Linked DNA regions of Anolis sagrei. The protein of the gene in region 1 purifies or fractionates together with the protein of each later gene. This does not show direct contact. Links are inferred from orthologs where the notes say so. Each region holds a gene or a part of one and is shown on either strand. Other genes may lie near its edges.

What was found. The genes of interacting proteins can lie anywhere in the genome.
Region 2: the proteins of ITGB1 (region 1) and ITGA9 purify together in Homo sapiens (affinity purification with mass spectrometry; 3 studies listed by BioGRID and IntAct, counting the BioPlex papers as one, with this or other methods). This does not show direct contact. The link is inferred for Anolis sagrei from reciprocal best matches to the Homo sapiens genes ITGB1 and ITGA9.
Region 3: the proteins of ITGB1 (region 1) and CD63 purify together in Homo sapiens (affinity purification with western blotting; 3 studies listed by BioGRID and IntAct, with this or other methods). This does not show direct contact. The link is inferred for Anolis sagrei from reciprocal best matches to the Homo sapiens genes ITGB1 and CD63.
Region 4: the proteins of ITGB1 (region 1) and CANX purify together in Homo sapiens (affinity purification with mass spectrometry; 3 studies listed by BioGRID and IntAct, with this or other methods). This does not show direct contact. The link is inferred for Anolis sagrei from reciprocal best matches to the Homo sapiens genes ITGB1 and CANX.

Annotation. Positions count from the first base shown.
Region 1 is NC_090026.1:112,675,169-112,683,184, forward strand, and holds the start of ITGB1 (integrin beta-1), read right to left. Parts: upstream 3,007-8,016; 5' UTR 2,771-3,006; coding exon 2,762-2,770; intron 1-2,761.
Region 2 is NC_090026.1:73,095,815-73,103,122, reverse strand, and holds the start of ITGA9 (integrin alpha-9), read left to right. Parts: upstream 1-4,303; 5' UTR 4,304-4,542; coding exon 4,543-4,712; intron 4,713-7,308. UniProt on the Homo sapiens protein: Integrin alpha-9/beta-1 (ITGA9:ITGB1) is a receptor for VCAM1, cytotactin and osteopontin. It recognizes the sequence A-E-I-D-G-I-E-L in cytotactin. ITGA9:ITGB1 may play a crucial role in SVEP1/polydom-mediated myoblast cell adhesion.
Region 3 is NC_090022.1:145,170,983-145,178,551, reverse strand, and holds the start of CD63 (CD63 antigen), read right to left. Parts: upstream 3,006-7,569; 5' UTR 2,901-3,005; intron 1,358-2,900; 5' UTR 1,342-1,357; coding exon 1,276-1,341; intron 1-1,275. UniProt on the Homo sapiens protein: Functions as a cell surface receptor for TIMP1 and plays a role in the activation of cellular signaling cascades. Plays a role in the activation of ITGB1 and integrin signaling, leading to the activation of AKT, FAK/PTK2 and MAP kinases.
Region 4 is NC_090022.1:86,866,378-86,873,485, forward strand, and holds the start of CANX (calnexin), read right to left. Parts: upstream 3,006-7,108; 5' UTR 2,921-3,005; intron 2,758-2,920; exon of another isoform or gene 2,734-2,757; intron 1-2,733. UniProt on the Homo sapiens protein: Calcium-binding protein that interacts with newly synthesized monoglucosylated glycoproteins in the endoplasmic reticulum. It may act in assisting protein assembly and/or in the retention within the ER of unassembled protein subunits.

The DNA of each region.
Region 1 (8,016 bases):
GAAGTAATGCAGCTTGACAGCACTTTAACTGCCCTGGCTCAAGGACAAGGAATCATGGGCCTTGTAGTTTAGTGAGGCACCAGCCCTCTTTGGCAGAGAAAGCTAAAGACGTTGTCAAACACCTTCCACTATTCCATTGCCTTGAGCCATGGCAGTTCAAGTGGTGTCAAACTGCATTCATTTTACAGTACAGACGCACCCCAAAACTTCTCCAATTACATCCTGCCCTTTCCCTCCTCTTTTCCCTTTCAAAGGCACATTATGCTAACATCACTGATACCAAAACAGACAAAGGGTTGGAAGCCAAGCACTAATAAGAGGAGCATTGAGGGAGGGAGATGGATATGTTTAGCTTGGAGAAAAGGAGATGGAGAGGGGACATGAGAGCTATATTTACATATTTGAAAGGATGTTCCAATGAAGACCACTGCCCTGGATACTAGGGGCGCTTCCACAGAGCCATATAGCCCAGAATGTCAAGGCAGATAATTCACAATATTTGCTTTCAACTGGATTATCTGACAGTCCTTCCAGGCCTCTTCCACACGGCTGAATAAAATTCCACATTATCTGCTTTGAACTGGGATATATGGCAGTTCAAAGCAGATATTGTGGGATTTTCTGCCTTTATATTCTGGATTATATGGCTGTGTGGAAGGGCCCCCACTCAGGCTCTATATCCCAGGATCTGATGCCAGGTTTTCCGCATTAAACTGGATTATAGGAGTCTCCACTGCAAAATAATCTGGGATAAACAGAAAACCTGGAATTTTTTTTCTGTGTCATGTGCAACTTGAGAAACTGCAAGTTGCTTCTGGGGTGAGACAATTGACCGTTTGCAAGGATCTTGCCCAAAGGATGCCCAGATGTTTTGCGTTCCTGTGGGAGGCTTCTCTCATGGGCCTGCATGAGAAGCTGGAGCTAACAGACAGGAGCTCACCCTGCTTTCCAGATTCAAACTGCTGACTTTTATGGTCAGCAGTTCTGTAGGCACAAGGGTTTACCCCAATGGGTTTCAACCTATGAGTCCCCAGGGTCCTTCCACACAGCCCTATATCCTAGAATATCAAGGCAGAAAATCCCAAAATATCTGCTTTCTACTGGGTTATTTGAGTCCACACTCAGATAATGTGGGATTTTCTGCCTTGATATTCTGGGATATAGGGCTGTGTGGAAGGGCCCTCAGATACTTTGGTCTTCAACTCCCAGAAATCCTAACAGCTGGTAAACTGGCTGGGATTTCTGGGAGTTGTAGGCCAAAACACCTGGGGACCCACAGCTTGAGAACCACTGGTTTAACCCACTACGCCACTGGGGATCAGATCCTGGGATATAGGGCCTGTCTGATAGGGTCCTAAGTCCACACCGCCATATAACCTAGGGTCTTTCCACACAGCCCTATATTCCATAATATCAAGGCGGAAAATCCCACGATATCTGCTTTGAACTGGGCTATCTGAGTCCACACTCAGATAATATGGGATTTTTTGCAATGATATCTGGGATATAAGGCTGTGTGGAAGGGCCCTTAATTCAAAGCAGATAATGTGGGATTTTATACAGCTAAGTGGAAGGGGCCCTAGGGGCCTTCCACACAGTCCTATAACTCAGAATATCAAGAGAGGAAATCCCACATTATCTGAGTGTGGATGCAGATAACCCAGTTGAAAGCAGATATTGTGGGATTTTCTGCCTTAATGTTCTTGGGGCCCTTCCACACAGCTAGGGCTATAGGGATATAGGTATCCCAGAATATCAAGGCAGGAAATGTCACATTTTCTGAGTGTGGACTCTGATTACCCAGTTCAAAGCAGATACTGTGGGATTTTCTGCCTTAATGTTCTGGGGGCCCTTCCACACAACCCTATATCCCAAAATATCAAGGCAGGAAATCCCACATTTTCTGAGTGTGGACTCTGATAACCCAGTTCAAAGCAGATATTGTGGGATTTTCTGCCATGATATTCTGGGGTATAGGGCTATATAGAAGGGGCCTTAGCCAGGGAGCAATGGATTCAAATTGCAGGAAAAGAAATCCCATTTAAACAATAGGAAAAACTCCCTGACTGTTGAATAGAATACCCAACCTCGGGGTTTGGTGGCGTCTCCTTCTCTGGAGACTGAAACTGGATGGCTATCTGTCGGGAGTGCTTTGATTGTGCCTTCCTGCGTGTCAGAATGGGCTTGGACTGGATGGCCCTTGTGGTCTCTCCCAACTCTGTGATTTAGAGGTGGCAGAAGCCTTTGCAGCCTGGGTTCCTATGGAAGGAAAGTAGAGCCACAATGAATCAGTTCGCCCACAAATCCGAACTTTGCCGCAACACTGTTGCCTCAAAGGGAGGTGGGATAAAATGTCCCGGTTGTTTCAAGCAGGTGGGAAGGAGGGAAGGCGAGGGAAGGGAAGGGAAGGGCTGGGATGGCCTCCCAACACGAGTCCAGCAATGCCTCTGCCACGCCTTGGCCTCCCTCCTTTCCTCCCAGAAGCTACAAAGACAAGAAGGCCATTAGAAGTTGCGTTAATCCATAGAGAGCAGGCTTGGGCAAACTTGGGCCCTCCAGGTGTTTTGGACTTCAACTCCCACCATTCCTAACAGCCTACTACAGCTCCCAGAAGCCCCCAGCCTGCATTCGCAGGCTGGGGGCTTCTGGGAGCTGTAGTAGACTGTTAGGAATGGTGGGAGTTGAAGTCCAAAACACCTGGAGGGCCCAAGTTTGTCCAGGCCACATGTAGTTGCACCTCAAGGAAGCAGAGTCCTCTTACTTGGGCCATGGCGGCGGTGGCTCTTCCCTGAAGCCTCTCCTCCTTCTCCTCTCTTCTCCTTCCTCTCCAAGGGAGGCCCAACTCTGCGCCTCAAGGCTGGGAAGGGCCAGCAGAAGCGCCTTCCTCCCTGCCTTCCTCCTCTGTCCTCCGGAGCCAGGCCGCCTCTTCAGGGCCGGGGAGAGGAGGGCCAGGCCCAGCTCGCTTCTCTGGCCGCCTCCGGAAACGCATTCCTGGCTGCTGCCGTCAGGCTCGGGGCGGAGCGCTGCCTCGTCGAGGAGGAGGAGGAGGAGGAGGAGCGGGGCTTCCCCTCTCGCCGCCGTCTTGGAAGGGAGGCGCCTCCAGGGCAAGCTCTGCTGCGCCTCCAGGAAGCCGGCTTTGGCCGCCAACTCCACGACTTCAGCCCCATACCGCTTTGGCTCAAGGCTGAGGGAGCCTGGGATTCGTAGCTTGGGGAGGCACCCGCCTCTTTGGGCAGAGAACTTCCACAACAACAACTTCCACAATCCCCTGCCATTGAAAAGTGGTGCCAAACTGCATCACTTCTCCTTTGTCCACTCTTTAGGGAGAGTTAGGCCTCACAAGGCACTAAGGGAAGCATGGGAAAACCCAGGCATGGGGGCCGGATGCGGCAGACCTTTGGGCTCTTTTCACAGCCCTCCCCCCTCATGATCCTGCCTCCTCCCCCCCCCTCTCCCTACCTCCTTCTTTCCCTTCCACCCTTTCATGCTTCCTTCCCTCCCTCCTTCGCCCTCTCTCCTTCCTTCTTTCCTTCCCTCCCTTTTGTCTTCCCTTCCTTCTTTCCTCTTACCCTTCCTCCCTTCCCTTCCACCTTCCTTCTTTCCTCTTTCCTTCCTTCCTTCTCTCTTTCCTGCCTCCTTCCCTTCCCGTTTCCTCCCTCTTTCTTTCCTTTCCACCCTTTCATCCTTCCTTCCCTCCCGCCCTCCTTCGCCCTCTCTCCTTCCTTCCTTCTCTCTTTCCTCCCACCCTTCCTTCCCTTCCACCTCCCTTCTTTCCATACATCTTTCCTTCCTTCTCTCTTTCTTGACTCCTTCCCTTCCCTTTTCCTCCCTCTTTCTCCCTCCCTCCTTCTGTCCCTTCCACCCTTTCAGCCTTCCTTCCCTCTTTCCTCCCTCCTTCCCCATCTCTCCTTCCTTCTTTCCTTCCTTCCTTCTCTCTTTCCACCTTCCTTCCCTCCCCTTCCACCCATCTTTCCTTCCATCCATCCATCTTTCCTTCCTCTCTTTTTCCTTCCTTCTTTGGGGATGTTTAGCTGGGAGAAGAGATGTTAGAGAGGAAACATGAAGCCATGTTTCAAGATTTCAAAGGGTGCCTCATTGAGGAGGAAGGGGGGGGGGGAGACTCACTTTCTGCTGCTCTAAAGACCAGGGCACCAAGGGAGCAATGAATTCAAATGGTAGGGAAAGAGATTCTACTGAAAAGATGAGGAAGAACTTCCTGAGTGTGAGAGCTCTTGCAGAGTGGCATAGTCTGCCTACAAGTGTGGTGGAGTCTCCTTCTCTGGGGGCTTTTCCGCAGAGGCTATCTCTCAAGAATGCTTTGATTGTGCCTTTTTGCATGGCAGGGGGTTGGACTGTATGGTCCTTGGGGGATCTCTTCCAGCTTTAGGATTCTATATCAGGATTCTATACAGTGTCTAATGGATAGACTTTTTCTCTCCTGTTCACCCTCTCATCCTGATCAAGGCCAACCCTTTTGGGATCCAAACATTTCCTGTATTTCCATCACTTTCTGCCTCTGAAAGAGAAGAGGAAAGGGCAGCAAGGGGACTTAGAGAGAACCCCCTCCTTCCTGCCCCCCAATCCCGCTCTGGCTCGCCATGCAGACCCTAATTTAGAAAGTTTACCCATGCCTAATATATATCAAGATGTACTAGAAGGGGCCTAAAGTGTTGCTTCACCTGTTTCCTTCACCTCCATTTCCATTTTGAGTCTCAGTCCTCTTGTCCCAAGCCTCACAAAATTTGGGAAGCTTTCTTCTGGAAGTTTAGGATCCCATGCAAACTCTGTGCTCATAACAACCCAGAATTAATGCCGGTAGTGTTTCCTAGTGCATTTATAGAATGAATGCAATGTGACACCACTTCAAACCTTCCTTGCTCAATGCTAAGAAATTCTGGGAGCTGAAATTTTACAAACTCCAGCCTTCTCTGCCCAAAAGCGATGGTGCCTCACCAAACTACATGGTCTATAATTCCGTAGCCTTGAGCTTTGGCAATTCAAGATGTTGTCAAACAGTGTTCATTCTACAGGGCACATCCACACTTCAGGGGAAATTAGGCCTCACAAAGCACATTGGTGTTGCTGCACCCTTTCCATTTGCCTTCTTGGCTATCAGGAATCACTGCTCTCTTTTCCTATGCCTCAGTAAATCCAGGGTGCCTCTACACTGTAGAATTATTGCAGTTTGACACCACTTGAACTACCATGGCTCCATTCTATGGCATCGTGAGAGTTGTAATTTGGTGAGACAACATTCTTTGTCAGGGGAGGCAAAAGGCTTTTTATGGAGAGAAAAAGCAGAGTATAAACAAACATACTAATAATAAACATAATAATAATAATAAACATAATATTATTATTAATAATACAACTGCAAAGCCTCTGGCACAAGCCAGTCAAGGTGGTCCCAGTGGTGATCGGCAAACTGGGTGCAGTGCCTAAAGACCTTGGCCTGCACTTAAACACAATCGGTGCTGACAAAATCACCATCTGTCAGCTGCAAAAGGCCACCTTACTGGGATCTGCATGCATTATTCGCCAATACATCACACAGCCCTAGACACTTGGGAAGTGTCTGACTTGTGATCCAATACAACAACCAGCAGAGTGTTCTTGTTTGTTGTGGACTTATCTTGTTGTGTTTCAATAATAATTGCATAGTGACAATTCTCAGGATTCCATAGCATTAAGTCATGGCTGTTCAAGTGGTGTAGAACTGCATTGGGTCTCAATCAAGAGATAAAAGCAGATAATAATAATAATAATAATAATAATAATATTTCTACAGTGTAGAGATGCACCCCAAGTCTTTGGCTTTCTTTGCCAAAAAGTTCAGGTGCTTCACTAAACTACAACTCCTAGGATTCCACAGCATTGAGTCACAACATTTAAAGTGATGTCAAGTTGCATTCATGCTGCACTGTAGAGATGCACCCTTAATCAGACATATAGAAGGAAAGCAGAGCTCTACTAACTTGCTTTTTGTTGGTGTGGGATTTTAATAACTGCTTGCATTTAGAGTTTGACTGGTGGGAGCCTTTGTTTCTTTGTTGCAAGAAGTGTCTGTTTCTTCGTTGCATGGTTTTGTCTTTGGGAGGAAACTGAAATCTGTTTTGTATCCAGCTTCTAGTCTGGACCCATCAGCAATCAGTCCTGTTCTCTGTCTTTATTATTATTATTATTAATGACCAGTTTTGGAGCTTTTATTTCTTCCCTGTTCTCTCTATATGTGTTGTCTTGAAGGTGGTTGTCGATGTTCACGTAGCCTAAAGAGTTATTCCAAAGTACATTATTTATCATTTACTTGGTATGACAAATATACTAGCTTGTTATTTTTGTATTCCTGCCCCCAACAGACACTTCTACATGGATTGGTAGAGAAAAAAGCAGCCCTTCCTGCTCTTTTCATTTGGAATATCACTGAAGAGCCTTGAAAAGGCGAATTCTCTTCCCTGTTTCCCTGTTTTTCTGTTGAACAGTCATCAAAGAAGAACTTCACTATCTATTCCAGACACTTAAGTAGTTTACTGTGTGCCATAAAGGGTATATTAAGCATAGAAACAGTAACCTTAATCACCATGTCTACTATTGCTAATGTCTGTTGATGATCAAGAAACTGGATATTTCTGCAGCCAACCGCTTTCATTCTTTTCTGGAAAACACAACACAAGGTTTGGCATTGGGACACAGTAAAATACCAAGGATGCTTGCTTAGCATGCCTGGATAAAAACAGAATATTTCTGCTATCATAACACAACTGACCAAATTTTGCATCTCAAGTGACAGTTTGGATTGAAATGCAGCCATCGTAAAGATTGACTGAGGTTTATAGATATCTCCAACTTTCCACTTTCATATAAACAATCAGTAATATGTGCTGCGTTTTCTTAGAAGTAATTCCTGCTGGCTGTTTCTAATTACTATTTCCACTAGAGTAGGTCAAATATTTTAGGGTTTGAAAAAAACTAGGAAATCATATTCATGCTCAACATTAACCTAATATTTTGGGTTTACAAAAACAACTGAAAACATTTTTAATTAACATGTTATTTCATTAGTATCAAGGATATCTGAATAGGCGTGTTGATGGCATATTACTCATGTTTCTCCAGGTTTGATAGCAAAACTATGATTGAATTATATTCTTATTGTATTTCTGTAGTGATGCCTAGTTTGTGAAGTGATATATTATTGCAGCGTTTCTCAACTTTCCTAATGCCATGACCACTGAATGCAGTTACTCATGTTATGGTGATCCCCAACCATAAAAGTATTTTTGTTGCTACTGCATAGCTGTATTTTTGCTGCTGTTATGAATTGTATTGTAAATATCCGATAGGCAGGATGTATTTTCATTCACTGGACCAAATTTGGCACAGATACTTGATATGCCTAAATTTGAAGATTGGGGTGGGGGAAGATTGATTTTGTCATTTGGGAGTTGTAGTTGCTGGGATTTATAGTTAACCTACAATCAAAGAGCATTCTGAACTCCACCAATGATGGAATTGAACAAACTTGGCACACAGAACTTCCATGACCAACAGAAAATACTGGAAGAGTTTGGTGGGCATTATTCTTGAGTTTTGGAGTTATAGTTCACCTACATCCAGAGAGCACTGTGGACTCAAACAATGATAGATCTGAACTAAACTTGGCATGGATACTCAATATGCCCAAACGTGAACACTGATGGCATTTGGGAAAAATAGACCTAGACATTTTCGAATTGTAGTTGCTGGGATTTATAGTTCATCTACAATCAAAAAGCATTCTGAACCCCACCAATAATAGAATTGGGCCAAACTTCCTACACAGAACCTCCATGACCAACAGAAAATACTGTGTTTTCTGATGGTCTTTGGAGACCCCTCTGACCCCCCCCCCCACGACCCCCCAGTTGGGAAACGCTGTATTATTGCTAAGTGTGCTCCAAGCCCTATTAGCAAAATGTGTGCGTGTGTCAGTTCACATTTTCAATTTTTTAAAATAAAAAAAATGATCATGCCTTAATA
Region 2 (7,308 bases), about 40 Mb from region 1:
AGGGCCAGATTATTATTTGGAAAAAAATGAATGAATTCCTATGCACGGTGCACATATTTTATTTGTAGTGCAAAAAACACTTTAGAACAATACAATAATTAAAATGAAGAACAATTTAAACAAATATAAACTTATTAGTATTTCATTGGGAAGAGTGGGCCTGCTTTTGGCTGATGAGATAGGATTGTTGTTGTTGTGTGCTTTCAAGTCATTTCAGACTTAGGTTGACCCTGAGTGAGGGCAGGGTAAATGACCTTGGAGGGCCGTATTCGGCCCCTGGGCCGTAGTTTGAGGACCCCTGCTCTAGTACATTCAGTTGGTCATGGGGGTTCTGTGTGCCAAGTTAGGTCTGGTCCATCATAGGTCCAGGTCCATAATCGGTGAGGTGCTGAGTGCTCTTCGATTGCAGTTGAACTATAAATCCCAGTACCTACAACTAACGAATGTCAATGCCAATTCTTCCCTACATTTTGGCATATCAGGTATGCAGATCCATCGTTGTTTGCATTCACAGTGCTCTCTGGATGTGAGTGAACTATAATTCTTATAAATCAAGATTAATTTTCCCCAAAGCCCTCCTGTATTTTTGGTTGATCATGAGGGTTCTGTGTGCCAAGTGAGGTCCAGGACCGTCATTGGTGGGGTCCAGGTGCTCTTTGATTGCAGGTGAACCATTAATCCCAGTAACTACAATGGCTACAAATCAAGGTGAATTCCCCCAAAACTTTTGCAGTATCTTTGTTTGGTCATGGGGGTTCTGTGTACCAAATGTGGTCCAGGTCTATTGTCAGTGGGGGTCACAGTGCTCTGACTTGATGTAGGGTGAACTACAACTTCTGTCATGTGGAGTCATACTCCCAGACCCCTCTAGTATGTTTAGTTGCTGATTAGTCTGCTCTGTTGTTATGCAGGCAGAATTGGAAAGAGTAGGAAAGGGTCAGCGGAGAGGCAGTGGACGGGATCATACAAATTGTGTACTCTCTACACCAATGTAGAGAGTAAGAAACACTGGGATGTCTGTGGTGCAGGAAACACATAAAATCTAGGATAAAATTGTCACTGAATGGAAGCATTCCTTGGGTGGTGTGGAGTATGGTGTTGGGGAGGACATTGGAAGGGGTTGGGCTACATGTTCATGGTGCTCGCTATGATCTGAAATGTCATTGAAGAGAGGGCTTTTGGTGGCTCCTCAGCATTGTGGGTTAAATCTGTTTGTGGAAGTGGGCATCCCAGCCACAAACAGACATACACATTTTCACTTTTATTATGGATATAGATAGATACAAATATATAAATAGATTGTTGGTTTCTGAAACTTATTGAGAACTTTTTATATCTTTTTATATCCTTCCATATCCATGAATTCTGCATCCAGAAATTCAACCACCCACAGCTTGAAAATATTTTTTAAACATCTAAAAAGCACGCCTTGATTTTTTCATTTTATATACAGGAAATTATTTTATAACACCATTGCATAAAATGGGACTAGAGTACCCATGGCTTTTGATATCATAGAGGGTCCTGGAACCAAACACAAGTAAATATCACAGGCCTACTTGTCATCAATGGCTGTGAAATCTCAGAAGCCATACAGAGCAATGAACAGCAGTTGGAGAAAATTCCTGGATGTAAATAACTTTTTGTTCTATCTCACGATGGGTACTATTTTGATTTTTAATTTAAAATAATGCCGCAGAGTCTGTAAAATCTGTGTGAACTCTATTGAAGACACTTGACTGAACAAATTATTAAGTTTTTGCATTTAAGTAGTTGCAGGCTTAGTTTACAATGCGTGAAAAAATGTCAGACATGGAATTGGACAACTTAAATCTGGGATTTAAGAACTTAGAGCTCAAGGTTGAGGAAGTGCAGTGCAAGACTGTAAAAGAGGATGATTTTCACGAATAATAGCTAAAGTTTCTTGGCCTATGACTCATGTTGATCTTTTTGATTGTTATTACAGTTTGGGGCTCATGCAGGTACATGACTGATGTCAATAAGCTCAAGTGGAAAACAAGGAACAGCACTTAAAGGTTTATGAGTTCAGGATAAATGAGTTCATTTCCCTGGAGAAAGAAGCTTATTTCACCAGGTTTGGGGCATCGAAACAATGGAATCCACTAATGATTGTATGAGGAAAGTACTATGCTGAGGTCCATGACTGAAAAACGACTTCAAAACCAATAGGAATTTTATTATCTGAGAAACAGTCATTTTCTAAAACCAATTGGAGTTCTTCCAGCTCCAACTTAATCTATAGTCCTGCTTCTTAAATACCATACGTGTTAATTATACCAAAGTTCAAGAGTTGTGTAGTCAACTTGAGCTGGGAAAGCTGCGTTCAGACCCAAGAAATGAATCTCACCCGATCTGGCTGAGTGTCAACCCTGGGATATCTGAGCCCTTACTTACTTAGTTAGGCAATCCTTCGTTGTCCGAGTAGGATAGTCTTACAAGATCAGTGTACTGGCAGTAGGTCCGTAGGTCACTGTGGAGCCCTATTCTTGATCTGCATCTTCTCACGCAGTGAGGGCATTAGTTTCCAGGTGGAAGGTGGCCCTGGTCGGGGTTGGCTTGATGGGCCTTCCTCTTGGCACATTTCTCTTTCGCCCTCCATTCGTGCCTCTTCAAATTCTGCAGCACTGCCGGTCACAGCTGACCTCCAGCTGGAGCGCTCAAGGGCCAGGGCTTCCCAGATCGCAGTGTCTATGCCAGAGTTTTTAAGTTTGGCTTTGAGCTAATCTTTGTTATAGTTCACCTATAATCAAAGAGCATTCTGGACTCCACCAATGATGGAATTGAACCAAACTTGACACACAGTTCTCCCATGACGAACAGAAAATACTGGAAGGGTTTGGTGGGCAGTGTCCTTTGGTTTTGGAGTTGTAGTTCACCTACTTCCTGAGAGCACTGTGGACTCAAATAATGATGGATCTGGACAAAACTCCACACAAATACTCTATATGCCCAAATGTGAACTCTGGTGGAGTTTAGGGAAAATAGAATCTTGACATTTGGGAGTTGTAATTCACCTACAATCACAGAGCATTCTGAACCCCACCGACGATAGAATTGGGCCAAACCTCCCATACAGAACCCCCATGTGGGCCACAGCAACGCATGGCAGGGGACGCCTAGTAAGTTTATATTTGTTAAAATTGTTCTTCATTTTAATTATTGTATTGTTTTGAAGTATTTTTTGCACTACAAATAAGATATGTGCAGTGTGCATAGGAATTCATTCATTTTTTTTTCACATTATAATCCGGCCTTCCAGCAGTTTGAGGGACTGTGACCTGGCGCTCTGTTTAAATCAGGGGTCCTCAAACTACGGCCCTCCAAGGTCATTTACCCGGCCCTCGCTCAGGGTCAACCTAAGTCTGAAACTACTTGAAATTCCATCTGAGGAGATTCCATCTGAACATGAGGAAGAACTTCCTGACTGTGAGAGCCGTTCAGCAGTGGAACTCTCTGCCCCGGAGTGTGGTGGAAGCTCCTTCTTTGGAAGCTTTTAAACAGAGGCTGGATGGCCATCTGTCAGGGGTGATTTGAATGCAATATTCCTGCTTCTTGGCAGGGGGTTGGACTGGATGGCCCATGACGTCTCTTCCAACTCTTTGATTCTATGATTCTATGAAACACACAATAACAACAACAACAATCCTATCTCATCAGCCAAAAGGAGCCCCCAGTGGCACAGTGGGTTAAAGCACTGTACCGGCAGGACTGAAGACCGACAGGTCGCAGGTTCGAATCCGGGGAGAGGCGGATGAGCTCCCTCTATTAGCTCCAGCTCCTCATGCGGGGACATGAGAGAACCCTGGACAACGTCTTTGCAGATGGCCAATTCTCTCACAATAGAAGCGGTTGCTCCTGACACGACCAAAAAAAAAAAAAGTAGGCCCACACTTCCCACTGAAATACTAGTCAGTTTACACTTGTTAAAATTGTACTGCATTTTAATTATTGTACTGTTTTTAAGTGCCGTTTCCACTACAAATAAAATATATGCAGCGTGCATAGGAATTCATTCATGCTTTTTTCAAATTATAATCCGGCCCTCCAACAGTTTGAGGGACTGTGACCTGGCCCTCTGTTTAAAAAGTTTGGTTTAAATGGTTTAAGGACCCCTGGTCTAAACCAAACCCAAACCAGCTCTGATCCAATTCCAGCCCTGGCCTGCAGTTCGCCTCTGGTCCAGAGAGAATCTAAGAGCGGCCGGTAGAGGGCGCTGCGGGGCCGGCTTTGGCTGCGAGGCCAGGCTGGGTGGTGGGAGGGGAGCGGAAAGTCTCAGCGGGGCAGAGCCAGGAGAGTCCCAAAGTGAGCCCGGCTGCGTGCTCTGGCGCTTCTCATAGCGGCGGCAGGGGTCTCTCTGCGGCATCGGACTCTACCCGGGAAGCCTGCCCTACAGTTGCGTCTCTCGCGGGCGGAGGCGTGCTTTGGGGGGCTTCTTCCGCATCTGAACTGAGACCGGGACCCCGGAGGAGGGAAGAGGACTGAAGAGGAGGGACGTGGGGAGCCCCCTTTGCGCCGGGGAGCATGATGGCGGGGCGGCTCCGGCGGGGCTTGAAGGGGCTGCTCTGGCTGTTCTCCGTGGCGTCCGTCTCCTCCTACAACATCGACCTGGAGCGCCCCGTGATCTTCCAGGGACCCAACAACTCTTTCTTCGGCTACTCCGTGCTGGAGCATTACTACGATAGCACGAGATGGTGAGTCGCAGCGTCGCCCTCCCTTTCCTTCCTTGGACCCCAGAAGGAGGCATTGAGCCTGCTTCCCAAGGCCGGGCTTCCCGGTGGGAGTGAGAGGGAGCGCCCTCATCTTCTGGCCCTCGCTTCCAGCTTCCCTCCTGCTTCCTTCTCCATCCCAACTTCAAGGGTTTTCTTGCATGCTGTGCTACACTTAGCCAATAGACATGTAATGGCTCAGATCACAGTCCAAGGGATCTTGGAGTCATGTGTTGCTGAAAGCTTCCATGGCCACAATCACTGCGTTGCTGTGAGTTTTCTGGCCATGTTCCAGAAGCATTCTCTCCTGACGTTTCGCTCACATCTATGGCAGACAACCTCAGAGGTTGTGAGGCCTCTGAGGCAAGTGAGGTTTATATATCTGTGGAAAGCCCTGGGTGGGAGAAAGAACTCTCCTCTGCTTGAATGTTGCAATTGGCCACTTTGATTAGCATCAAATGGCCTTGCAGCTTCAAAGCCCGGCTGATTGCTGCCAGGGGAACACCTTTGTTGGAAGGTGTTAGCTGGCCCTGATTTATTGATTAAATGTACTGTAATGTTTCTTTTTCTGGGTTGTTGTAGGTTTTTTTTGGCTATATGGCCATATATATATATGGCTATATATATCTATATATATATATAAATACTCTGTGCATAATGAGTACCTTAAAAACAAAAGAAACAATGAACGAAATCACACCAAATTTGGCAACAAAACGTCTCACAACACAAGGAGTGACCATCACTCAAAAATTATTATTTTCTCATTTGGGAGTTGTAGTTGCTGGGATTTATAGTTCACCTATAATCAAAGAGCATTCTGAACTCCGTCGACAATGGAATTGTACCAAACTTGGCACACAGAACTCCCATGACCAACAGAAAATACTGGAAGGGTTTGGTGGGCATTGACCTTGAGTTTGGGAGTTGTAGTTCACCTACATCTAGAGATCACTGTGGACTCAAACAGTGATGGATCTGGACTAAACTTGGCACAAGCACTCAATACGCCTAAATATGAGCACAGATGGAGTTTGGGGAAAATAGACCTTGACATTTGCGAGTTATACTTGCTGGGATTTATAGTTCACCTACAATCACAGAGCATTCTGAACCCCACCAATGATAGAATTGGGCCAAACCTCCTACACAGAACCCCCATGTGGCCACAGCAACGCGTGGCAGGGGACAGCTAGTGTGTATATATATATATGTATATGTATATGTATATGTATATGGCTATATAGCCTGAAAAAACCTACAACCTAGTCATTCCGGCCATGAAATCCTTCGACAGTACATTTCTTTTTCTGCTTTTTATCAATGTATGTATTTTATATATGGCATCGAATTGTGCAACTCTGTACGCCGCACTGAGTCGCCTTTGGGCTGATAGGAGCAGGATAGAAATAGCGTAAATAAATCTATATAAATAAAAAGGTAATGTTCGTTTGTGGGACTAACAGAACTCAAAAACCACTGGACAGATTGACACCAAATTTGGACATAAGACACCTAACAACCCAATGTATGTCCTTCACTCAAAAAAATTGATTTTGTCATTTGGGAGTTGTAGTTGCTGGGATTTATAATTCACCTACAATCAAAGAGCATTTTGAACTCCAGCAGTGATGGAATTGAACCAAATTTGGTACACAGTTCTCCCATGACCAACAGAAAATACTGGAAGGGTTTGGTGGGCAGTGTTCTTTGGTTTTGGAGTTGTAGTTCACCTACATCCCGAGAGCACTGTGGACTCAAACAATGATGGATCTGGACCAAACTTGGCACAAATAATCCATATGCCCAAATGTGAACACTGGTGGAGTTTGGGGAAATAGAATCTTGACATTTGGGAGTTGTGGTTGCTGGGATTTGTAGTTCACCTACAATCACAGAGCATTCTAAACCCCACCAACCATAGAATTGGGCCAAACCTCCCACACAGAACCCCCATGACCACCAGAGTAGGCCACAGCAACACATGGCAGGGGATGGCTAGTAAATCTATATAAATAAAAATGTAATGTTCGTGGGATTAACATAACTCAAAAACCACTGGGCGAATTGACACCAAATTTGGACACATGACACCTATCAGGCCAATGAGTGACCATCACTCATAAAAACACTGAAAAACACACTGACAAAAACAACTCCAACCCCAAAAGGCTGTTAGGAAGGCTGTTAGGAATTGTGGGAGTTGGAATCCAAAACCCCTGGAGGGCTCAAGTCTGCCCCTACCTGGTCTACACCATGGAATTATTCCACAGCATTGAGCCATGGTAGTTAAAGGGGCCCTGTAGGCCATCCAGCCCAACCACTTTTTGCAGACACCATCAAAGTCCTCCCAATAGATGGCCATCCAGTTGGAAAGGAGCCCCAAAGGCCATCCAATCTGACCTCATTGGGCGGTAAAGGAAGGCTTCCATGGCTGCAATCACTAGGTTGCTGTGAGTTTTCTGGGATGTCTGGCCATATTCCAGAAGCATTCTCTCCTGATATTTCCCCCACATCTATGGCAGGCATCCTCAGAGGTTGTGAGGTCTGTTGGAAACTAGACAAGGGAGGTTTATATATC
Region 3 (7,569 bases), on another chromosome or scaffold:
TTCTTTCATGTCCCCACGAGGAGCTGGAGCTGATAGAGGGAGCTCATCCGCGCTCTCCCCAGATTCGAACCTGTGACCGGTCAGCCTTCAGTCCTGCCAGCACAGGGGTTTAACCCACTGTGCCACCGGGGGCTCCTGGGATATAGGGCAGTGTAGATCCAGCCTCAAGGCCCTTCCACAGGCCCTATATCCCAGGATCTGATCCCAGATTATCTGGCAGTGTAGACTCATATAATCCAGTTCAAAACAGATAATCTGGGATCAGATCCTGGGATTTAGGGCAGTGTAGATCTAGCCTCAAAGGCCCTTCTAGACAGGTTCTATATCCCAGGATCTGATCCTAGATTTTCTGCTTTAAACTGGATTATATGAGTTTATACTGCCAGATAATTTGGGAGCAGATCCTGGGATACAGGACAGTGTAGATCCAGCCTCAGGGTCCTTCCAGATAGGCCCTATATCCCAGGATCTGATACCAAGTTTTCTGCTTTAAACTGGATTATATGAGTCCACACTGCCAGATAATCTGGGATAAACAGAAAAACTGGGATCAGATCCTGGGATATAGGGTCTGTATGGAAGGGCCCTCAGAGGAAGGAACTGGCCAAACTGCCATTGAGTATTCCCTGCCTAAAAAAAACCTCACAAAATTCATGGGGTCACCAGTTGACAAGTGACCTGAAGACACATACAAAACATCCTCGAAAGGCAAATGAAGTTCATTGTTGTCTTTGTGCTGAACCCTAAAGGGAGAAATTTGATAATCATCGAGTTGTTTTTGATTCAAAGGTAAACTCATCCCACATCATAGCAGAACAGGGGGAAATTATTACCTTTTTTAAAAATCAAGTATGCAAAGTATTTTGGCATCACTTTTAGTACAAAGACATATGCATCTCCAAAGCTGGATGCCTAGAATTCTCCAGCAGATAAATGATGGTACTTAAGAGATTTAAAGTACGATGAGAAGCACATTTATTATGTACGTATGTAGGAGTCCCAAAGGATTATAACACAGCTAAGGATGCACAGCTCTTGTGATGGGAACTTACTACTAGCACTTATAGAGAAAAGAAGGAAAGCCATCAAGGAAACGGAGCAACAACTCGGAGTTAATTCAGCCTTTAAAGGTTAATTGCCCAAAGTGGAACAAAGCGCCTTGGCTGCTGAAGAGGCCAAGCAAACCCAGCCCAGAGCTTTTGATGGCGGAGGGAGGAAAGGAGGACAAAACAAGCCCCATAACCTCTCCCTCCTCCCCTACTTCCACTGACTTACCCAGAATATGAAATTGAAGAAGAAGACCAGGAACTTCACACACTTCATGCCGCCTTCGACGCCCATTTTGCCTTATTCGTCCCTGTGAGGAGGGAAAAAACAGAACAGAAGTGGCGTTAAGAGTTCAAGCCTCGCCGAAGGAGGAAGGAAAGGGAAGCTGGGAAAAGAAGATGGGCGTTTTGAAGCCTATCATGGAGGCTGGGAAAAGGAAAAACAGGAAACTTGGAGGAGACAGCCTGAGGCAGAAAGCGGGAGGAGAGGAAGAGTAGGGATTCCAGTAAACCTGGGCCCGGTTTCCTCAAGGGCTGGGTTTCATGTAAATCCTTTCAGGATACATATGTATCAGAAAGAGATTGCCAGGAGGAAGTTGGGGGAGATTCAGATACAAGGGACACACTCTCTCCACCAAGGCGGAATTTTCCAGTTTCCCTACTCCCACGCAAACAGTCAGGGGTGGCCACACTGTAGAATTAACACACTTTGATATCACTGCTACGCAATCACAGGAGTTTGACAAGGGTTTTTTTCCGTCTTCTCTGCCAAAGTATAACTCACCAAAGTGTAACTCCCAGGGTTCAAATAGCATGAAAGTGGCATATAAATAAAGGGGGGTATAAATATTATTATTACCATTATTATCAAAGTGCATCAATTCTACAGTGTAGATCAGACATGGGCCAACTTGGGTCCTAAGCGGCTGAGGGGGGAAAGGAAAGGGCCTGAGGCTGTTAGGGATTGTGGGAATTGAAGTCCAAAGCACCTGGAGGGAGGACCCAAGTTGGCCCATGTCTGGTGTAGATGCAGCCAGAGTTCTTGAAAGTTGGAAGAGACCATAAGGGCCATCTAGTCCAACTCCGAAGGGAAAGCACAATCAAAGCATCCCCAGCAGATGGCCGTCCTGCCTCTGTTTAACAACATGGCACAAGAGAACCCACTTTAGAATCACAGAATCTTAAGAGTTGGAAGAGACCTCCTGGGCCATCCAGTCCAACCCCCTGCCAAGAAGCAGGAAAATTGCATTCAAAGCACCCCCGACAGATGGCCATCCCACCTCTGTTTAACAACGTGGCACAAGAGAACCCACTTTAGAATCACAGAATTGGAAGAGACCTCATGGGCCATCCAGTCCAACTCCTTTCCAAGAAGCAGGAAAATCACATACAGAGCACCCCCGACAGATGGCCATCCAGCCTCTGTTAAAAGCTTCCAAAGGAGGAGCCTCTACCACACTCCGGGGCAGAGAGTTCCACTGCTGAACAACTCTCACAGTCAGGAAGTTCTTCCTCATGTTCAGATGTAATCTCCTTTCTTGTAGTTTCTCTCTTCTCTCCCCTTTCCCCAGCACTATCAAGGCTGGGAAAGCCCCAACATAGAACTCCGGCCTCACTCCAAGGATTCTGGAGTTGGGAGGGAACCCCAAGGGCCATCCAGCCCGACCCAATTCTGCCACCATCCAAACACTCCCGACAGATGGCCGTCCAGCTGGACAAACTTCCAGGGAAGGCGCCAAATCCAAGGAAGCGACATAAGAGTCTAAATAACAATTTCTTCTTTCTCCTTTCTGTAGAAATCTAGATTCCCGCGTTAAAAAAGGACCCCCTCCCTCTTTTACTATTATTTTTTACCTTGCCACTTCCTGCTCCTGGAAAGCAACCCAATAACAAGAGCACCGCAGGATCCAAAGGGGCAGGACTGAGCCCAGCCCCAGCGCCTCGCCTTCTTATAGCCGGCCCCCTCCTCGCGCTCCCCTGAAGCCACGCCCCCCTCCCGAGTCACCGCCCCCTCCCCGCGAGACGGAGCTCCCCCTCCGCTGCTCCTCACGTGACCTGGAGGGAAGGAGGGGAGGGGGCTGACTCAACAGGAAAAGGAGGGAAAAGGAGGGGGAGCATGGGGGTCAAAGGCAAGAAGAGCACCCCATCCAGACACTTAGAGTCTAATGGTCATGGCTCAATGCTATGGAATAATGGGAGTGGCATTTCCACAAGGTCTTTAACCTTTCTCTTCCAAAGAGCGCTGGGACCTCCCCAAACTACAAATCTCAGGATCCCACAGCCTTCAGCCTTTGTGACTTGAAGCGGGCTCAGGCAGCCTTTATTCTGCAGTGTATTACACAATGAGGCACGATTTTAAATGTCATTTCCTAATGGGTTCAATGCTATAATAAACATGGGAAAAGTTGATTAAACTGCCAAAACTTTATTTTTGCCGTGACATCTTGCAACACATTTTGATATAGTTTTCAATTAATAATAATGATGATGATTTTTTTGGTCATGTCAGGAGCGACTTGAGAAACTGCAAGTCGCTTCTGGTGTGAGAGAATTGGCTGTCTGCAAGGACATTGCCCAGGGGATGCCTGGGTGATTTGATGTTTTTATCATCCTTGTGGGAGGCTTCTCTCATGTCCCCGCATGGGGAGCTGGAGCTGACAGAGGGAGCTCATCCGCCTCTTCCTGGATTCGAACCTGCGACCTGTTGGTCTTCAGTCCTGACGGCACAGGGGTTTAACCCACTGCGCTGACACCGGGGGCTCAAGATGATGGGGGCCCAATTACCTTCCTCCCTCTCCCCTTCCCCATCTCACCTCCCTCACCGCCCAATTACCTTCCTCCCTCTCCCCTTCCCCATCTCACCTCCCTCTCACATCATACGACGATTTTCCCACCCTTTCTATCCATTTCATTGTTCCCACTCTTTCACTGTATAAAGAGAAAATCCAGAAAATTTAATAAAAAAAAAAAGATGATGATGATGAATTTTATTTATACCCCGCTACCATCTCCCCAAAGGGGACTCAGGGCAGCTTACATGAGGTCAAACCCAGTAGTGCATTACTACAGAATACAACCAAAAGCACAGAATAAACATCGCAATACATAAAACATAAGAATACAATAGTACAGTGCAAAAATATAGTGAGAGATAAATCACAATAAGCGGGCCACATGTACAAGATAAAATGATAATAACTCAGGATTAGTTAGAAATGGAACAAAAATGTTTGCGAGGGAGAAGCTCATTGGAAATGGAGTAGTGGAGACAGGCCTTCAAACAGGCAGGGGGAAGTACAGTATGGGGGCAAAACATCTCCTACAGCACTGGTTCCCAATCATTTTTTGACCAGGGGCCACTTGAACAGGGACCAGTAATAATAATAATAATAATAATAATAATAATAATAATAATAATAAATATGAAACTTTATTTATACTCCGTTACCATCTCCCAAGGGACTCGGTGCGGCTTACATAAGGCCAAGCCCACAATACATCAATAATAAAAGCAATAACAAACAACAATACAAAACAATAAAATAAAAACTCATTAAAAATAAGCAATAAACATTAACAGCCACACAGGGACGTTTAAAAACCTATGGCTGGGCCAAATGTAATAATTAAAATTTAAAAATAATGCTGAGCATGAAAAGATGAAATAGGAGCTAGATAGAGTTTTTAGAGAGGGATGGGGCGTGCAGACACTCCTAGATCCATAGTAAAGTGCATTTAGAGGACCACTCCCCAACATTAATACCAAAAGGGTTACAAATTAGTTTTTGGTCTTCAACAATACATTGTTTTTGGTCAACTTTAGATTTAAATTTGCTCCAGCAGAGAAGCATTGTCTTGTTGTGGTGCTGGGGCTTGAGCACCTCAATGATGCCACGAGCGAAACTGTAAAGGGACACCCAAGACGGGAAGGTCGTGGCAGAGAGGTCAGACTAAATGCGATCCCTGGGGAAGGTAATGGCAACCCACCCCAGTACTGTTGCCATGAAAACTAAATGGATCAGTACAACTAGAGATATGTCGGTATGCCATCAAAAGATGGGACTCCCAGGTTGGAAGATGGGGAGGAGCAGAGGATTAAGTTCAACTAGCCCCAGATGTGATGACGCAGCTAACTCAAAGCCAAAAGGAAGGCTAGCAGCCAACGGTGCTGGAGGTGAACGACGAATCCAATGTTCTTAAGATCAACACACTATAGGCCTTGAAGGGATTGGCTTGACCTTGAAGGAGCTGGGGGGTGGCCACGTCCAACAGGGAGCTCTGGCGTGGGCTTGTCCATGAGGTCACGAAGAGTTGGAAGCAACTGAACAAATAAACAACAAAGATTTGGTTTGGTTATTTGAGGTGCTGCTTCAGAAAATTGCATTGAATAGACCACATCAGCTCTAGTTTCTGCTACAGGACATATGCTATCCAGTAGTCACCATCTGCTTGCCTATACAAAACCATATTTAATAATGTAGTGCTGATGTGGTAGTAGTAGTAATCTTTTGTAGGTAATCAGTCTCTCCCCTCCCGACATCATTGTTGCCTCGTCACTATAAGAGGGTTTCGCAAAACCAGTTGCTCTCGTTGCTGTGTGGTTTTGAGGCAACAGTGTAGTAATGGTGAGGCTGCAGACCATATTTGCATTATTGTGGACCACTGGTGGTCCACGGACCACAAATTGGGAACCACTGTCCTAGAGTCTCAAACAATTCAACATAGTTTGTCGCCGCCACATAAACAGTTTCTATAATATGACAACTGCTTTCAAAGTAAGGACCATACAATTAAACAGGAAGGAACACTTTCAAACCGGGAACAGAAATGTTTCAAATTTTATTATATAGTGTTATGCTTCCAGAGTTTTGGAACACTTGAACAGCTAAATTTGAATTAGAAAAGTGGATCCAAGTGAGAAAAAATATATCAAAGAGGCAATTCCATATCCTGAGCCAAAAAGGAGGGCTTGTGGCTGCAAGCAAAATAAATGTTTCACTAAACAGAAGTAGCCCAAGTTTGCAGGCGCTTTCATTTGTTGCACTGAAAGCAGTCTCAATTAGAAAAATGGAAGTTATGTTTGAAAGGCAGCTGCCATTATTCCCCAGACTGATGAGCCTGAGACTCTAAACAAAGCTGAGGGCTTTCTTGGACTACAATTAACTCCACCAGATACATGGAAACCTCCACTGGTATGTTCAGAGACTCCTAGGGCCCTTCCACACAGCCATATAATCCAGAATGTCAAGGCAGAAAATCCCACATTATTTGCTTTGAACTTGGATATATGGCAGTGTAGACTCAGGGCCCTGCCACACAGCACTCTATCCCAGAATATCAAGGCAGAAAATCACACATTATCTGAGTGTGACTCAGATAACCCAGTTCAAAGCAGATATTGTGGGATTTTCTGTCGATATTCTGGGATATAGGGCTGTGTGGAAGGGCCCCTAGAGTTGGAAGAGAGCCCAAGGTCATCTAGTCCAACCCCATTCTGCCATGCAATAATAGACCCAAAGCACTCCTGATAGATGGCCACCTAGCTTATGCTTAAAACCCCCAGAGAAGTTTTACAGCTCTTACTGTGGTCTCCTGATATGTACATAGAATCTCTTTCCCTTTAGTTTTCCTGATTCTATTGCTCTTTTCCAAAATCTTCCCTGGAACTGATGTCAGGCTGATTGGACTGTAATTTATTGTGCCCTCCTTTTTCCCCTTCTCTCCAAGAATCCTCTAAGATTATTACCAGTGATTACTGAAATCAGCTTTCTTAAAAGTCTAAAATGAATGTTTCACTATGCTTGGATTTCCCCTTTGAACTGGATAACAGACTCCAGGAGATCATGGTCAGTCCCGCCTAAGCAACCTAGCACTTCCATCCCATTAGTCTCATCTTCACTGTTAGTTAGGATCCCCTTCTTGCCTCTTCCACCTTCTGTATAATATAATTGTTAGCAAAGCAGGTGAGAGATTAGTTGGAGCTGTTATCCAAAAATATCAGGATAGTTCGAATCTTTCATTATTACTAGATATATCCCTCCTTTTTGAAGGCGTAATCATCTGTTCCAGGAAGGCATAATACAAATCCAGAGTCTGGGGCTTGCTGTTATGTGAATGTGCCTTTGGGTTACCAGTTGGTTTATGATGAAATGAATGCATGCATTTCATAAGGTTTTCTCAGGCAAGGAATACCCAGAGGTTGTTTGTTATTTCTTTCTTCTGAAATATAGCCCCCAGCACATGATATACATTGGCAACTTCCCTGCTATGTACTAACCAGAGCAAACCCTTCCACGATCACATGGGATCTGGTGCCTTTAGGGTATTTATACACATTGCCAACATATGAGGCAACTGGAGTTAGTTAAGTGAATGAACTGAAATGCCACAAACAAAAAAGTAATTGTTATTTTAACAGTGGTTTTAACCATCTCTACAGCTGAAGAAGTAGGTTGATATCACAAGAGCTTACGCTGAAAGAGATGAATTAAAAGACGCTGCTAGATTCCATGTCCTCCATCCA
Region 4 (7,108 bases), on another chromosome or scaffold:
GCCTACCAAAAAGTTGATGGCTCGAATCTAGGGAGCGGGGTGAGCTCCCACTGTTAGCCCAAGCTTCTCCCAACCTAGCAATTCAAAAGCATGTAAATGTGAGGTCAATTGGTATCGCTTCTACGGGAAGGTAATGGCGCCCCATGCAGTCATGACCTGGCAGGAGTCTACGGACAACGCTGTCTCTTTTTCTTAGAAATTGAGATGAGCACCATACCCCAGCACCAGACACAAATAGACTTCATGTCAAGGGAAAACTTTTATCTTCTCCTACTAAGCTTTACAAGGTCTTGAACCTTCTCTGCCAAAAAAAAGGCTGGCTGCTTCCCCAAACTATGTCACCCAGGATTCCCATGGCAGTGAATGGGGTGTCAAACTGCATTCATTCCACAGGGGAGACACAGCTTGAGTAACACATGCACACATCCCACAATACACAGAATGTCAGAGTTTGCAGTTTCAATGCTGTGGGATCCTGGGAGTTGTAATGTGGTGAGGCACCAGCATTCTTGGGCAGAGGAGGTCTCGTAAAACCACAAGTCCCGCGATTCCATAGCCTTGAGCTGACAGAGTCCAAGGGGCGCCAGCGTCAAGCTATGGCATCTGCACCAATCCTGCAGTGTACTTATTTATTTGCGATATTTATATCCCACCCGTCTCACCCCAAAGAGGACTCAGAGTGGCTTACAAGTTATATGTACATTGTTGTTGTTCATTCGTTCAGTTGCTTCCGACTCTTCGTGACCTCATGGACCATCCCACGCCAGAGCTCCCTGTTGGCCGTCACTTCCCCCAACTCCTTCAGAGTCAAGCCAGTCCCTTCAAGGATACCATCCATTCATCTTGCCCTTGGTCAGCCCCTCTTCCTTTTTCCTTCCATTTTTCCCCAGCATTATTGTCTTCTCTAAGCTTTCCTTTCTTCTCATGATGTGGCCAAAGTACTTCATCTTTGCCTCTACTATCCTTCCCTCCAATGAGCAGTCGGGTTTTATTTCCTGAAGTATGGACTGGTTGGATCTTCTCGCAGTCCAAGGCACTCTCAGAACTTTCCCTCAACACCACAGTTCAAAAGCATCTATCTTCCTTCGCTCAGCCTTCCCTATGATCCAACTCTCACATCCGTAGGTGACAATGGGGAATATCACTGCTTTGACTATGCGGATCTTTGTTGCCAGTGTGATGTCTCTACTCTTCAGTATTTTATCAAGATTGGACATTGCTCTCCTCCCAAGAAGTAAGCGTCTTCTGGTTTGCTGGCTGCAGTCTGTGTCTGCAGAAAATTTTGCACCTAGAAATACAAAGTCTGTCACGGCCTCCACGTTTTCTCCCTCTGTTTGCCAGTTATCAATCAATCCGGTTGCCATAATCTTGGTTTTTTAGATGTTTAACTGCAATCCAGGTTTTGTGCTTTCTTCTTTCACCTTGATTAGAAGGCTCCTCGGCTCCTCCTCGCTTTCAACCATCAAAGTGGTATCATCTGCATATCTAAGGTTGTTAATGTTTCTTCCAGCAATTTTTACCCCAGCCTTGCATTCATCAAGCCCCGCACATAGCATGATGTGTTCTGCATACAAGTTGAATAGGCTGGGTGAGAGTCTACAATATATTATATTATTAGCATATTACAATATTAGTATGATATATTACTATATTGTACTATATCACTATACTTTATTATTATTAATATTACATGTAACATAATTATTATATCATTAATAGTGGGTTAAACCCCTGTGCCGGCAGGACTGAAGACTGACAGGTTGCAGGTTCGAATCCGGGGAGAGGCGGATGAGCTCCCTCTATCAGCTCCAGCTCCTCATGCGGGGACATGAGAGAAGCCTCCCACCAGGATGATAAAACATCAAATCATCTGGGCATCCCCTGGGCAACGTCCTTGCAGACGGCCAATTCTCTCACACCAGAAGCGACTTGCAGTTTCTCAGGTCGCTCCTGACACGACAAAAAAAATTTATGAGCACAGCACAATATTAGTATTATATATTACTATAGTTGCTGGGGGGAAGGGCTCTGATGACCCAGGAGACATGTTGGAACTGTCTTCCTGGCTCCCCTTCTTCACTCTGGACCCAGAGCAGCAATTGGTGCTGGGGGGATGGGCTCCGATGACCCAGGAGAGATGTTGGAACTGTCTTCCCTGCTCCCCTTCTTCACTCTGGACCCAGGGTTCCCAACTGATGACCCAAGAGACACGTTGGAACTGTCTTCCCTGCTCCCCTTGTTCAATCTGGACCCAGAGCAGTAATTGGTGCTGGAGAGGGGCTGCCAAACTGATGACCCAAGAGACATGGTGGAACTGTCTTCCTGGTTCCCTTTCTTCACTCTGAACCCAGAGCAGCAATTGGTGCTGGAGAGAGGAGCTCCCAACTGATGGCCCAGGAGACACGGTGGAAGTGTCTTCCTGGCTCTCCTCCCCAGTGCAGATACACAGGAGGCCCCCTCCCCGCTATGAGCAGCCCCTCCACAAAATGAAACACTCGCCCACCCCATCCCCTCCCCCCGTAAAAAGGCGAGGGGAGGTCCCTCAAGGTCCCACCCGAGAGGCGAAGAGATAAGCCACGCACAGGCCCGCAACGACACCTTCCCCCAAGAGGCCCGCTCTAGAAGGCCCTAGAAGTTTGGCCTGCGGAGGGACCCGGCGCTTCTCCCCCTCCCCCTTCTTTCTCTCTCCCTCATTCCAGCCCACTCAGTACCCACAGCCCCCAACGGACACACCCTCCGTGGGACACTTCGCCTCCCGCTCTTGCCGCCTCCAGTGCGTGCCCCAGAGTTCCCTGCGCGAGAGGAAGAGGGCCGCTCTCCTTCTCTCCCTCCACCCCCCCCCCTCATCCCCCGCCGCAACATTCTATCCCAGGCAGAAACGAAGGGAGGGCCTCCTCGCGGGAGATACTCTCTCACTCACCTCGCTCCACGCGCACAGCTCGCCCGCCGAGGCTCCTCCGAGAAACCCCCTCGCACCTCCTGCCGTCACGTGCCTCCGCCCGCGCGCGTTGGTCCGTTGCCTGCCTGCCTGCCTCACACTCTCTCCTCTCTCTCTCGCTCTCTCTCTCAGCCGCTAGCTCCGCCTCCCACGCCCCGAGACTTCCTACTCTCATTGATTCAGGCAAAGGGAGTCTTCCCGCCCCTCCGCTCTGATTGGTTAGACCACGCCATCACTCTCCGCCGCTCTCGCCTTAAGCCCCGTCCCTACGGCGCTGCCCTTCGTGGAGCGCTGCCATTGGCTGAGCGGCTCCGACGGAAGCGCCCGTGGGTTGGCGGGCGAGCCGGAGTAGGCGGAGCTTGAAGGACGAGGGAGCCTCTCCGTTCTTAAAGTGACAGGAGAGCGTACCTCCTGTGGACCGTAGTAAGAAGGAGTGGGCTGGCAGGGGCCTTGTGGGTGTCTGCTGCAGAGGGCCCTTCCAGACAGGCCCTATGTCCCAGGGCCTGATCCCAGGTTCAGATTATCTGGCAGTAGCAATTCTTATAATCCCGTTTAAAGCAGAACACCTGGGAATCAGATCCTCGAATATAGGGCCTTTCTGGAAGGGCCCTGAGACATTCAGAGCAGAATATAGTAATGAAGAGAATGCATTGGCATCAAGTGCAGACATATATAAGCGAGATTGGTGGGGACGAGGGACAGGGCCTTCTCTGTGGTGGCCCCCCGACTCTGGAACTCTCTCCCCAAGGACATCAGACAAGCCCCAACGTTGGCAGTCTTTAGGAATAGCTTAAAAGATGTGGTTGTTCCAGTGTGCATTCCCAGAATAGGAAACTCCAAGCATCATATCCCAAATGCACTTTATTAGAGATTTAAGATTGTCTGCATACCGCACCTATCTCCAAAAATCTATCCATTTCACCTGGTCATGTCCAGCATTTTTAAAATTTTTAATCATTACATTTGGCCCGGCCTTAGTTTTTAAATGTGTCATGGTGTTATTATCTAATGTTTATTGCTATTGTTTTAATGTTTATTGCTTTGTTTATTGTTGTATTTGTTATGCTGTTTTACTTATGTATTGGGCCTCGGCCTCTTGTAAGCTGCACCGAGTCCTTCGGGAGATGTTAGCGGGGTATAAAGGTTTATTATTATTATTATTATTATTATTATTATCTCTTGAAATTAACTCCTAAGCAGAGAACAATACTAAATAGTACACAATTGAACACCTAAACACCTAAAATATATGATCATCGCAATAAGAATAAAAATATTTGTTAACTGCCTCAAGGCTCACAGCATAAAACACATATATCAGAACACACCACTGTATCATACCCCAAAACATGGTAGTATATAAAGCTAGAGGTTTCTCCTGACATTAAGTCTAGTTGTGGCCAACTCAGGGGTGGGGTTTATCTAAGCCAAAGAGCTGGTGTTGTCCATAGACACCTTCAAGGTCATGCAGCCAGCACAACTGCATGGAGCACCATTACCTACCTACCTATTGATCTACTCACATTTGCATATTTTCAAACTGCCAGGTTGGCAGAAGCTGAGACTAACAGCAGGAGCTCACCCCGCTCCCCAGATTCGGTCAGCAAGTTCAGCAGCCCAGCAGTTTAACCCACCACACCACCAGGTTTACAAAGCAGCATATATAAATATAAACACTAAAATTGGATTAAACGTGGAAAATATTTACAATAAATAGTTAAAGCAGATTAAAATATATAAAACATTTCTCAGCATTCCTGATTCAGTCTTTAAAACTTTTTTTCTTTACAAGGGCCGGGTGTTATTTGCTTGGCTTTATAGTCCATGAATACCTTTGTCTAATAACATTTATTTTCTTGAAGCAAAGTGTGTCCCAAGGCCGTTTTTCCTCCGACTACCCTTATTCTGTCCAGCAGAAAAGACCTCTCTAATTGAAGCCTCTAGAAAAGGCAATTGCCCTTCACAAAAGAATTCATTTTCACCAAACTGCATTCAAAATATCAGATCTGGCAATATGTTCGCATTAAGTAAAATTACATCTTTCTCACCATCATTCCAATCCCAATGCTGTTTTAAAACATCCAGGTAGAAAGACGACAAGAAGAAAAAGGTTGCTCAGGGGAATACATGTTTTGTAAAAAATAAAAAAAAAAGAGCTTTGTTAACTGAAATATGTATGTGCTAATCTTGATATAAGCTTTGTAAAACTATGGCAATAAGTGTATAGCCTACTACCAGCTTTCGCTGATACACCATCTGTGCCCCTGCCTAGATTTGGATGACCTAAAGATGGTAGTGCATGCGCTGGTAACCTCAAGGATGAACTTCTACAGTGCCCTTTACACTGGGCTACCTTTGTACCAAGTTCAAAAGCACAGCAGACAGATTGGCTACAGGAACATTCGGGAGTTAGCATATTACACCTATCACAGAGTCAACGCATTAGCTGCCAATTAGTTTCCAGGCAAAACAAAAAGTGTTGGTTGTGATCTTTAAAGCCCTATTGTCAAAGGGCTTTAAAAGCCAGAATTTCGTGACCGGAATCACTGGGTTGTTGTAGGTTTTTTGTCCAACTGCAACTCCCAAAACTTCTCAAGATTAGCAAGGCTTTTGGGAATTGAATTTCCAACATCATGGAGGGACAGCCAATTGCTACCACTAGATTAAGCCAAGGTTCTGTTTCTACTTTGTAGTTTGGTTCTTAATTCCAACCACAATATTTAATTTCCTATTTAAATTCTTCACTTTTTCACCAGATGGCACTATTCACAAAGTCATGGGTCTGTTACTCAATACAATACTGTGCAAAGCTCCAACATTTTTTAAAAATATTTATTTTGCAATTAAGAGTGACTATATAGTGATAATTACGTGAGGAGTTGATTCAGTAAACACCACACCTATTGTCTAACCTGATGTTCTGGTTTAGTACTCCATTTCCGGGTGTTTGTGGACCCCCCCCCCCCCCCCATGTTTTAATACTGGTTAAAATAGTACAGCAAATTCATGTGTGAACAGAAGTCTAATTCAGTTACTTTTAAAACCATACAGAATGCTGCCCAACATTCAGCTGGAGTATTAATTTTTCTTGGGTGCAAAGAACTTACACCATGAATGCAGATTAGTGAGAGATGAAGCTTCTTAATCTTATTTATTTATGTATTTATGACATTTATATGCTGCCCTTCTCATACCGAAGGGGACTCAGAGTGGCTTACAAGATATAGATATATATACATACAATATATTATATTATTAGTGTAGTAAAATATCAGTATTATATTTACTATATTGTACTATACCATTATATTGTAATATTATTAGTATTGCATGTAATATAAAATATATAATTATAATAACATATTACTGTTATTAGTATTATATTGCATTATATTATATTGTTAAAACTATTATATGTATATACAATATATTATATTACATTATATTATATTATATTATTAGCATAGTACAGGAGACAAGGTGGAACTGTCTTCTGGCCCCCTCTCTCTTCACCCTGACCCAGAGCAGTAGTGGATGCGGAGGGAGGGAGCGGGGCTCCCAACTGATGACATAGCATAGGAGACAAGGTGGAACTGTCTTCCGGCCCCTTCTCTCTTCACTCTTCTTAAGCACTAGATGTGGACAGGGAAGGAGTTCACAGAGTGTAGCATAATTAGACTAAGTTTTATTGCACTCCCAGGTATATCTTTTTGTGAGATTTCAGGCCAAAAGGTAAAAACAGGCACTAACAAAAAGAAAAATATATGGTGGGAATAATTTAAATTATCCAAACAGCTGCTGTGCCAAGTCCCTACTAACACCATCTTTCAGATCAGCTGAGAAAGCTGTGCCGAGAGTGCCACACAGTCATATTGCCCACCAGCTTAACATATAATGCTTTATCAATTGTAACACCCTAGTTATGATACTTCTGCCAGAAATCCAGGTGTCCCCTACACAAATGGGTATTGTTTTAATTATGCCAAAAAATAAAAAGTGTTGTCTCCTACATTTTAAAAAAAATCTGGCATCATTTAAAAACATATCTATTTGTACAAAGTAAAGAAAAATATACATAATGTATACTCTTATAAATATCAGAACTTAGCAGTATGTTATTTTAGATATCTCTTAAGTGTAGACATAAGAAAATTGTGGGTCTGAAGAGCA